3 linked regions of the Mus musculus genome follow. The main gene of each other region encodes a partner of the protein of the gene in region 3 in a complex. Links are inferred from orthologs where the notes say so. Each region holds a gene or a part of one and is shown on either strand. Other genes may lie near its edges. The genes, in order: Apoo, Micos13 and Chchd3.

Evidence for each region.
Region 1: Chchd3 (region 3) and Apoo share a complex: the UniProt entries of both Homo sapiens proteins name them as parts of the mitochondrial contact site and cristae organizing system (MICOS) complex. The link is inferred for Mus musculus from reciprocal best matches to the Homo sapiens genes CHCHD3 and APOO.
Region 2: Chchd3 (region 3) and Micos13 share a complex: the UniProt entries of both Homo sapiens proteins name them as parts of the mitochondrial contact site and cristae organizing system (MICOS) complex. The link is inferred for Mus musculus from reciprocal best matches to the Homo sapiens genes CHCHD3 and MICOS13.

The regions. Positions count from the first base shown.
Region 1 is NC_000086.7:94,387,540-94,391,187, reverse strand, and holds part of Apoo (MICOS complex subunit Mic26 isoform 1 precursor), read right to left. Parts: intron 3,524-3,648; coding exon 3,469-3,523; intron 444-3,468; coding exon 348-443; intron 1-347. UniProt on the Homo sapiens protein: Component of the MICOS complex, a large protein complex of the mitochondrial inner membrane that plays crucial roles in the maintenance of crista junctions, inner membrane architecture, and formation of contact sites to the outer membrane.
Region 2 is NC_000083.6:56,606,850-56,611,114, reverse strand, and holds Micos13 (MICOS complex subunit MIC13 precursor), read left to right. Parts: upstream 1-1,343; 5' UTR 1,344-1,446; coding exon 1,447-1,475; intron 1,476-2,091; coding exon 2,092-2,269; intron 2,270-2,422; coding exon 2,423-2,477; intron 2,478-3,273; coding exon 3,274-3,371; 3' UTR 3,372-3,663; downstream 3,664-4,265. UniProt on the Homo sapiens protein: Component of the MICOS complex, a large protein complex of the mitochondrial inner membrane that plays crucial roles in the maintenance of crista junctions, inner membrane architecture, and formation of contact sites to the outer membrane.
Region 3 is NC_000072.6:32,966,257-32,969,904, forward strand, and holds part of Chchd3 (MICOS complex subunit Mic19), read right to left. Parts: intron 2,063-3,648; coding exon 1,945-2,062; intron 1-1,944. UniProt on the Homo sapiens protein: Component of the MICOS complex, a large protein complex of the mitochondrial inner membrane that plays crucial roles in the maintenance of crista junctions, inner membrane architecture, and formation of contact sites to the outer membrane.

The sequences.
Region 1 (3,648 bases), on a different chromosome or scaffold from region 3:
AGGCATGTGCCAACATACCTGGCAACAGTGGAACATTTACAGTTTGTCAGGTGTGAAAGACTTTGAACAGAACTTTACTCTTTCTGTACCATAGAGCAATATTTGAACAAGTAAATGTGCTTATTAAGTAGAACTAATTTCTTTTTCTTACCAAGAATATAAATTTCTATGTATGTTTAAAGTCAAATGTAACTGGATAAAGACACACATGAATCATTATGTTAAGAAGTCCACATTCAGGAACCAACTTATTAAAAAGCTATTAAATATGGATAAAGAGCCACACATATATCCCATCTCTCCCATATAAACTGACTCTGGGGGGAACCCTAAAAAATTGCACCTACCTCTAGCAAAAAGGAGTCCAACAAAACCAGCAAAACCAATAACACCGAGTCTTGGGAAAAATCCAGGAGGCGCATTTTGAAGATAGTTATAGTTGTCTACGATGGAATAAGATTGGGAAATAACTCCATAAACTGTTCATTAAAACCAAAAGCAAAAGTCTCATACATAACTAGAACATGCACTACCAAATGTTCCCCGACCATGCATCCTTTGCTTCCTGTTAGTACGTATTTGTTTTGTTTTGTTTTAAGTCTACTTTCATTTAGTATAAAGCAAACCCATGATCATCCTGCCTCACTTCCCATGTGCTGGGATTACGGGTGTGCATCACCAAACCTAGCTCACACTTTTTAAAGACAACCTTGCTGTGTGGCCCAGGCTGAATTTAAACTTTCTTTGTATCCCAGACAGACCTGGAACTCACAATCCTGCTTTACCGTGAGTGATGAGATACACACCACCATCAACTGTGACAGTATGATTCTTTGCAATACATTCTTTCAGGAACCAAACACATTCAAATCAGAAAACCAAGTGTCTTTGCCATCTGAACTCATTATTTGAACTAAAGAACAATATGTTTGGATAATGAAGGAAAACTGCAGCATAAATTTGTGCTGGCTAGGGTTTTGTCAACTTGACACAAGCAGGGTCGTCTGGGAAGAGGAACATCAACTGAGTAATTGCCTCCATCAGACTTGCTTGTAGGCAGGTCTTGAGAGCATTTTCTTGATTAATGCTGATTATGTGGGAGGGCTCATGCCATTTGGGGGTAGAGCCACCTGTGGGAGTGTGGTCCTGAGTGCTAGACCTAGAATGAGAGACCTAGGAACACTCAGTCCTAACTGGGATGCCCATATCAAATCCCCCATCTCAGGGCTCAGGGAACCCCATCAAAGGGAGGCAGAAAGAACATAAGAGCCAGAGGAGACAGAGAACTCCAAGAAAGCAAGACCCTCTAAATCAACATCAACTAAGTTCATATGAACTCTCAGAGACTGAGGCAGCAAGCACAGGGCCTACAAGGGGCTGCACCAGGTCCTCTGCATAGATATTATGGCTTCCAATTCGTGGTTTTAAAGATATTTCTGAGGGCAAAAACAAGTAGGTCTCTGATTCTTGTGCCTTCACTTGGGCTTTTCCTTCTGTTGGCTTCTCTTGTCAATTTCCAATGTGTTAGTTTTTGTTTTATCTTAATATTAATTATTTAATATTAATTATTTAATATTATCCTGTTTGTTTTCTAATGACAAGCATAAAGGGATGAGAAGGGATCTGGATGAGAAGGGAGGTGGGGAGGAACTGGGAGAAATAGAGGGAGGGAAAACTGTAATCAGGGTATATTATGTGAAAAAAAATCTATCTTCAACAAAGGAAAAAAATAAAATAAAATTGCATTAGTGTTAGAAAAAGAAAAAGAAAGGAACTCAGGCTGAGCAAGCTACGGGGAGCAAGTGAGAAAGGAGCACTCCTCCATGGCCTCTGCTTCAGTTGCTACCCTAACTTCCCTCCAGGGTAGCTTGTAAACTGTTAAGCTGGGATGAACCCTTTCCTCCCCAAGTTGCTTTGGTCATGGCGTTTTATCACAACTATAAAAAGCAAAGTAGAACAAGATTGATGCTAGAAGTAAATAGCCACTCTTGCTGGTCATAGAATTTAATAATTTAAAAATAAATACAACAGTGAGCCTACTCAGGAAGTAAATAATACAACACATGACCTTATTTGCCATGCCTACGCATGTCTTAAGACTTGGATTTGCATGCTCTCTCCTTTCCTCTCCTGTCTATGGAAGCAGTCTCACAGCAGACTGGAGCCTCCTCAGGCACTGAGTGCCTCCTCAGGAACGCTCATCCTAAGTCATCCGCATAGACACTGCCTCCTTCTCTAAGGTGCCATCAGAAGTCAGTCTCGGTACCACCCCTGCTATCTCACCCTAAGCATTTGATCCTTCATGCCTGTGTTTTCTGTCCCCCACACACAATATATGTTCTCTCACGGTTGATTGCTTAGACTTATATGTTACCTTCTCTTGGTGATAACAGTAGATACTTATCCAACAGATCTTTGTTAAGACCACCACCAGGTACAATGACACATACCTATGAAGTTGTCACGGTGAAACCCATTACTTTGCATGCTAACCTTAAAAATTAATAATTAAAAAAGAATACTGCCAAGAGTTGTTTAATACCAGATGAAGTAATAAATGACTTGAAGCTAGGTCATGACTTCATTCTCTCTCAACTTAGCCTTAGCCTTCCCTATGTTTAAAATGCTTCCTGGAAAAGCCTGAGTCCTGTCTCTAAACACTGATCACATTGAGCCAGCTATGTGTTGGTTATACAGCTTTTCCAGGAAGACCAGCTGAATTCCTTCCTGCATCTAGATTTTATGCACTTTTTTTAAAAAGTTGTTATTGTTGTTGTTGTTGTTTTAGACTACACAGAGATCTCTCTATGTAGTTCTGGCTGCCCTGGATCTCACTGTGTAGAAAATGGGCCCTTGAACTAGCAGAGATCCATTATTGTCATCTCCCTCCTCGTTGATAGAAGTAAAGGCATGTGCCACCATACCTGGCCTGTGCAATATCCATTAACGCCAGCTCACAAATTAGTATGACTCACAAAATCCAGTGAGGAGTAAGCAAGCTCTAGTGCACTGTAATTTTGTTGTTGTTGTTGTTTGGATTTTAGCACTGGACCTCACAGATGCAAAGGAAACAGTCTGCTACTGGGAGTTATTTGACATGTTTGACTTTTTCTTCCTGAGTTACACAGAGTCACTACAAAGACTTAAGAAGATGCGTCCCATTCTGCTACTGGGAACTTACATCCCCAGCCCTGGAGTTGGTTTTTTTTGGTTTTGTTTTTTTTTTAATTCTAAGGTACAAGTACTTGTTAGCCCAACAATGCTAATAATATTGAAGAGATTCATGAAATAAGACTCTTCTGAAACCTATTTCAAACACAGATCATCTTCCAGAAAACATCTAGATAGCTCTAGATTTGTCCATATGATGTCAAAGACTCTGATTTCCAGAGCCAATTTCCTAAAAACTTAGTACAATAGTTCAATAGGATGAAATAACCGATTATGCCTAATTAAAACTCAACTTACCTACTCCCCACTGGACAAAGTGATCCACCTTGGGTTTAGTATGGGAGTATATTTCCTACAAAGATAAAAAGAAATAGAATGAGTAGGGCTTACTGAATAAATTATCATTATTAACATCTTTTGGTGCTGGGGATGGATCTAGAGCAACAAACACTACCATTAAGCTATACCTCTAGCTAT
Region 2 (4,265 bases), on a different chromosome or scaffold from region 3:
GGAGAAAATGTCACCATAGACACTGGACATGTCTGTAAAAGCAGGAATGAGGAGGCCCAGGCAGGAGAATTCAGCTTTGGTCCATATGAGTTCCAGACCAATCACGTACAAAGAATAAGACCCCGTCTAAAAAAGAAAAAAACCCACAAAGCTGGGTGATGGTGGAACACACTTTAATACCAACACTTAAGAGGCAGATGCAGGCAGAGCTGTGAGTTCGAGGCCAGCCTGGGCCACAAAGTGAGTTCCAGGACAGCCAGGACTGTTAGACAAACCTTGCCTCAAAACAAGCAAGCAAACAATAACCAACCAAAGGCAAACCAAACCAAACCCAACACAAAAATAAGTAATAAAGAAATAAAGTTGTGTGTGGGGGGGGTCTTGTGTATGGTTGAATCGGAATGACCCCTACAGTTTCATGTATTTGAATGCTTGGTCCCCATTTGGTAGAACTGTTTGGCAAGGATTAGGAGATAAGTTTTCTTGGGGCAGGGGTGACAGTGGTGTGGACTTTAAGGTTTCAAAAGCCCACACAATACCCTGTAGTCTCTTTCAGCTTATGAGCCACAATGTAAGCTCTCAGCTGCTGCTCCAGCGCCATCCCGGTTTGCCTGCTGTCATGCTCCGCGTTACGATGGTCATGGTCCTCTGAAACTGGAAGCAGAAAACTTTTCCTTCTATTGAGTTGCCTTGGCCATGGTGCTTTGTCAGGACAACTGAGAAGTAATTAGGACAATAGGTCTCCATAGACAATTACAAGGCATCCATGCATCCATGGTGCACATCTGCTCAAGCTCACCTTGCAACCGAACAGGGATCTACATGATGTCCACTTGGCCGCTAACCCCTCCTGCGGCACTTCGCACCCCAGTGTGGCTCCTTGTACTCCGGACCACCCACCGCCAACCCGTTCTCACATGACCCCAAGACTTCTACCCGGCAGGGATCCTCCAGCGCCTTGGCCTTGGCAAGTCAACAACCTTGGCAAGCGTCCATCTCACAGGCCATCTGTAGCCTCTCCAAGCTTCCTAGGTTAGAGCCACACCCCTAACCGCTCACGTGAACCAAAGGCCTGCTTCTCTGGAACAATCCAGCCCTCGCGTTGCCGTGGTAACCATCACTTAGGCTTGCTTCACCTGGGGGACACTCAATTCTCCGCGCGGGCGCGGGGAATCCGACCAGTGTCTTCCGAGGGCTCGTCTCTGTCGTGCCTCCAGACTACATTTCCCAGGAGCCTTCGCGGCCTAGCCCTTCTTTGGTCTTCCGCCTAACTAATACATTTCCCAGAAAGAATTGCGGCAGCCACGGACCTCGACCTACAAGAGTCTAACTCCATTGCGGCTGACAGCGACCACTACATTTCCCAGGAGTCTCAGCAGCGACACCAACCGGAAGCGGCGGGCGAATTACTTGTCCTTGCGCGGCGAGTGAAGCGAGAGACTAACCATGGTGGCTCGAGTGTGGTCGCTAATGAGGTGCGTGGACAATCGTGGAGGCCCTGAGAAAGTTCGGGGCTGTAGGCATCTCTGCCTCGTGGCTTAGGGTCCTGCGACGGCTCACTTCCGGTTGTTACGGACCTTTCTCACGGTCTGTGTAGGGAAACTGGCTTCAGCCAGCCCTTATCACCCTACTGCTTCAATTTACTCTTAGGTGCAATTCAGATGCGTAGGCAATCCTGCCCATCTCCCTCCGTAGCTGACTTGAGTAACTTGCGGGGAAGCTCCGCCAGACACCCTGGAAGGTTTTGTACCAGGGATCTTGAGTGTCCATTATCCTTTGCAGGGTTTCGAATGACCCACCCTGTCTCTCTTTAAGACTCCGTTTACTGCTAAAAGTCGTGTCACAAAGGCAAATGAAATGATCAACTGGCCGGGAGTGGTGGCACACGCCTTTAATCCCAGCACTTAGGAGGCAGAGGCAGTCGGATTTCTGAGTTCGAGGCCAGCCAGGTCTACAGAGTGAGTTCCAGGACAGCCAGGGCTACACAGAAACCCTGTCTCGAAAAACAAAACAACAACAACAAAAAATGATCAACTGTCTGATCTCTGAGATCCTGCCCCCCACAGCGTCTCCCTTCATGTATTCCTGAAGGTTCCTCATTAAGGGAAGTGTGGCTGGAGGAGCAGTCTACCTTGTTTATGACCAGGAGCTGCTGGGGCCTAGTGACAAGAGTGAGGCTGCCCTGCGGAAGGCCGAGGAGGTTGTGCCACCAGCAATGTACCAGTTCAGCCAATATGTGTGCCAGCAGACAGGTCTGGAGATGCCACAGGTACCTTGGCTGGGAGTGGGTGGCCTACAGGTTGCTTCTGGGTGTCCTTGGGGCCTCCTCCACCCCTGCTTGGTGGAGTTTTGTGTTTCTGGGTTTGGGAGACAAGGCTGTGACCTGTTTCCCGTGTCAGCCCGTGTTCCTCTTTCTTCCCAGCTCCCAACCCCTCCAAAGATTAAATTTCCAAACTTCCGTGATTCCTGGAACTCAGGTAGGCCCCTATGCCCCTGCTTGGGGGGATGCCTGGGCACCCCAGCCTCTCTCCCAGCCCTGTTTACCTCATTGACCCTTTCTACTCCTCCATGTTTTCCTGTTTGTGTGCCTGTATATCACCTATGGAACTAAGTAGAAAGGACTGGGTATGGTGGCCCATGATTGTGACTTTAGTATTTGGGAGGCCGAGGCAGGAAAATTGTAGTTTCAAGGCCAGCTTGATCTATAGCCAGGACTACACAGGGACATCCTTTCTCAAAAATAGGAAAAACAAAATACTTAAAAAAACCCTAAGGGGTTGGGGTTGTAGATCAGTGGTAAAGATCTTTCCTAGCATGCATAAAGCTCTGGGTCCTGTCGTCAGCACCCCATAAATCAGGCATGGTGTTTGTAGGTCTGTCATCTCAGCACTCAGTGCAGGCAAGAGAATGAAGGATTTCAGGGTCATCTTTGACTACATAGGGAATTCCAGGCCATATGGGATATATGAGACCTTGTCTCCACAAAGAAAAGCTGGATATTGTTATACACACCTATAATCTCAGCACTGGGAAGAGCTGAGGCAGAAGGACTGAGAGTTTGAGGATAACCTTGGAATATATTAGTGAGATGAAACCTTTTAAAACAGAGCATAGGGAAGGGGTTGTGGTTTAGATCCACACTGGAACTTGTCCATCAGGAAAGGCTAGTCCCATTCCTCCTCCATGTACTGCTCTTGCACTCCCCAGGGGTTGGCTGGCTGAGTGGCTCTGGCAAGGTGGGGACCTTATGGCACCTGTGTGCTGTCTCTGCAGGCATCATCTCAGTCATGTCAGCCTTGTCGGTGGCCCCCTCCAAGGCCCGAGAATACTCCAAGGAGGGCTGGGAGTACCTCAAGGAACACAGCAAGTAATGGATGCCACCTGCCCCAGCATTATGGGGGTCAAGACCAGGATGGCAGAGACATCCCAGTGGGGACCTCACTCTGAGGGCAGCTTCCAGCATTGCTGGCCCAATAAAGGACTTGGGAATGGTCCCCAGCCGGTTTTCTGGTGGGGGGGGGATGTAGAGCCTTTGCTTTATGGGCAGAGTCCTGGCTAACAGGGATCTCTATGTTCCAGATGTAATGTTTGGAGCCCAGAAAGATTTTAGTTTTAGTTTTTTGTTTTAACTTTTAAAAATTTTGTGTGATAAAAACCATGACCAGAAGTAGCTTGGATAGGAAAGGGTTTATTTCAGCTTGTTACTCTCAGGTCATTCTCCATCACTAAGGGAAGTTAGGGCAGGAATCTGGAGGCAGGACTGAAGTAGAGGCCATGGAAAATTAGTTTATAGGCTTGTTCTCCATGGTTTGCTCAGCCTGCTTTCTAATAACACCCAGGACCACCTACCCATAGTCATCAATCAAGAAAGTGTCCCACAGTCCAATCTGACGGAGGCATTTTCTTAACTTAGTGCTTGTGTGGGTGTGCTTGTATATACACACTGGCACTGTCTGTTGTGAGCTCTCCATCATGGGTGCTAGGATCTGAACTAGCCATGGAACCATTCTTCCAGCCTGTACAATGGAGTAGGTACTGTGGTGCGGGGAGCCTGGACTTGGGGCCCTTAATAGGGGCTTCACTTGCAGTGGACCAGTTCTTTTTGACAGCCCCATTGCCCAAACTAGTCACAGCCACTCAGGACTCCCAGCCTTGCCCCCTGAAGGTCCCTTTTCCTAGGGACCCTGCCCCAGCATTCCTGTCCCATGCTGCACCAGCTGTCTGAGTCCTGAAAGTCTCTATTAGTATATCAGAAGTCTGTGACT
Region 3 (3,648 bases):
GGTTAAGACAAATCAAAGGCTGAACATACTATCCCATGCCAACCATGTCGCACGTGTGAGCTGCCACTGGCTTACAGGATCAAGGTTTCACAGTTTCTGTGAAACCGCTCATGCCTCATCATGTGTATGTAAGGAATCATTAATTCTTAAACTAAGTAAACAAGGCAGTACTCCCACATTCGGGTAAAGGCTTTAGTCATTGAGAGAAGAGTGTTCCAGGTATCAGGTGCAAAGGATCAAGAGAGGGGACAGAAAAAATGCTCACCAGAAATGCCCCCAGTGCCTTCCTAAAACATGAGCACCTTTAACCCTGTCCTCTCCTGTCTTTAGCCTCCAGGTTGTGAGACTTTACTGTGATTGCAACGACCACTCAGACAACTGGCCTGACACTTTACTTCAAGACATGCTGCAGGTCAGACGGCAGGCAGAATCAAAAGTGAGCTGCCCATTCCTTTGTTTCTCCTTTAAACTAACTGGCTTCCCTTCTGACCCTCCTTCCCTGAGCGCCACTCAATAGAATGCTCAATGTGCTGACCACAGTCCGCCCACTGGCATTTCCCTCCTGGTCTATCACGTCCACTCTAGCAACACCTTCCTCCCCATGTAGCCTGGGACCTCAGACTGGTCACTAAGAAAAAGCTTTATAAACTGACTTCACCTTTCATTCCTTTTTGTCACCTGGTCATAGGTTCCCTTTTCAAATAAGGGAATAAAAGGTTTAAAAGGGAACAAGAAGAAAAGAGAAAAAAGAAAAGGAAGAAAGGAAAAAGCTGTTAGCAATTTATTATCTAGTTCCCAAAGAACTAGGAGAGGATTCTAAGCCTCTCAGCACACACTCTGCTAATTCCATCAGACCCACTGCATACATGGGCTAACCTATCACACTGCACCCATCAGCATGGGTAAGTATTAAAAGAACAAACTTTCAATCGTCCTAATATTAATGTGTGTGGAAACTGAAGCTGAGACAGACAGAGACAGACAGACAGAGAGCCACTAGAGTAGAGAAGAGAAGTGGAGCTTTTCCCCATCTAGGCTTAGCAGTTCTCGGTTACTTACTGGGTAGGAAGTTTTGAAATTCAAAACCCTCCATTTAAGGCCTTGTGTTCCATCTTACTGGTGTCCTAGTGTGTTCTAGCAAGGACTAAAGGCCCTGAACAGTTTCACCTGCATTTCTAGGAAGAAAATTAGAGACTGAGCAGTCCGCTAGAGTCTTGAACCACAAGAGATGCCGTTTTAGCTGCCAATGGAAACTGCTTAATAAATGGTAAGGATACAGAGGATACTAATCATCATGAGAAACTACATTTCAGAAAAAGTGTTCTGTAATCTACCAATATATTTGCATACATACATCATTTATTCAAATTCAAAGTTACATATAAGAAACTCTAACACACTCCAGTGTAAACCATGATCATGTCAAGAAAAAAATGTATGGGTGGGTGAGTTTTAAATTTTTGTTAATTATCTTTTAAAGTGTTTATGTAATCTTTAAAATTAAAAAAAATATTTTTACTGAGAAAACTTATTGTTGTCCTTTACAAGGCTTCTCCAAGCCTTGTTCCTTCTTTGTCAGGTCTGGAGAGCAGCTGATGAAAGCTTAGCTCACCTCTCTGCGGCTTTCCCAGGAAAGCATCTGGAAGGGGCCAGCAGGAAGAGAAAGAGGGCCAGGCCTGTGCCCAGGGTAGCAGAGACAACACAACAAACAAGCAGCAGCTCCCAGGTGCCACATGTGCCTCCAGCACTTCAACACTTGTAAAGTAACCGACCTTAAACATCCTGGATGGCCAACCTTCATCAGCTACTTAGATAAAACTCAAGAAAACCTGGCCAAGGGACCATCACTGTTCTCAACACGAAAAGCTGGAACAGACAGCAGCTTCCCAGCCTCAGGGACGCCCAGGATGACGAGGGGTCTTTAGTAACCAGAACCAGCCTCACCAGATGCTTCGCCTTCATGCGCTCCTCTTCACTGGATATTCTTTCCCGAAGGACAGCTCTGGTCAGCTGCTCATTGGCTGCAGCCCTTTCTCTTTCTAGGTCCCTTGCTTGCTTAAGGCTGAAAAGACAAAAAAGGTAACAATACTTTCTTTTAAATTACTTTAACAACAAATTATTTTTAGGTTATTTAATAACCTGGATAGAAAAAAAAAATACTTTGCTGGTTGGTATCACTTTATGTTAAATAGAAAAACCTGAATAAAAAAGCAGAAACGATAAATTCAAAATCTGAAATCATATTGGCTTATAATCTATCAAAACTTTATACTATAGTAATCCCCTGCAGCCTCCATCCACACATTTAAAACGTTGGAATTCTAAGAGAAGAAGGTATTGATCCAGCTGACAAAGTGTCCAAATTTAACAAAGTTCTCAGGTAAAACTGAAAACTTCTCACCTAAAAAAATCCCATCGCTAGGGCATCTCAGTAAGTAAAGAGCTTTCCTCACAAGCATGAGGCCCTGAGTCTGTGTCCAGTACCCACACAAAAAAACATAGTGTAGTATTTGTAACACTGTACTTCACAAACAAGACAGGATGATCCCTGGCCTGCTAGCTGGCTGGTTGGCCAAACCCACTAGCAAGTCCTAGGTTCCAGGCACAGTCTCAAAAACCAAGGTAGAAAGCCCTCCTGAAAGCTACTGCTAAGCTAGATCACTGGCCTCTCCAAACACACACACACACACACACATACACACACACACACATGCACAAAGTTCATCAAGCCACCTTTGTGAGGAACATATGAAGGCATCATCTTCCTCCAAAAGTGAGTCATTTATTCACTGACATGAGTCAGACATAGAGGACACAGTAGAGGACAAGGTGTCGGGATCCAGGTTCCTTAATCCTATATGAAAGCAGAAGCTAGCCAGAAACACAAAGAAGTCTCTCCACCCAGTGTATTGTTCCATCCTCCAACATATGCAAAATCAGCCTGTTATAGCAGGCTCCAGGCTGCTGAATGACTGCTCCCACCTACCTTAGCTCTGATGGATGCCTTACATACCAGACGTGTTCTAGAGAAACAAGAAGACAACAGTGGCAGTGCCAGGATCTGCACACTACTAATTCTATTAGTGAAGCCTACAATTGCATTAAGGTGATCCATTGCCTCGTCACACAATTAGCTCCATATTAAGTTACAATCTACTAAAACACCTCATTGTATATGATAATGATAAATGACTCTGGCACTGGATTGTGCCATAATGCCTTGCACAGAACGGCACTCAGAAGCACTGAATGAAAGATCATTTCAGTCTAATCTCGTGGACAAAGATTTTCTGATTGCCTTTTCTCTTTTGAAAGAATAACACTTCTATACCCCCAAAGATGTAGCTCTGCTTTAAAAGGAGGTAAAATTGTTATGCTGGTGTCATTCTGAGTAAAATGTTCTGAGTGTGAATGATGAGTGCTAAATTTTACTTGGTGCTGGCCTATCAAGGGGACCCTTGAAAAGAAGTAGAACATAAAATTTGTGATGCTATTTTAAAGCATCACACCATCCTGATACCCTGGCATTCTTAGAAATAAGTTATAACTGACAAAATTATCTTATAATATATATTCCAGAATTATGCTTTTTCCCTTGATGGTAAACATATTTTTCTTGAAGCAAAAAACAAAAACAAAACAAAACAA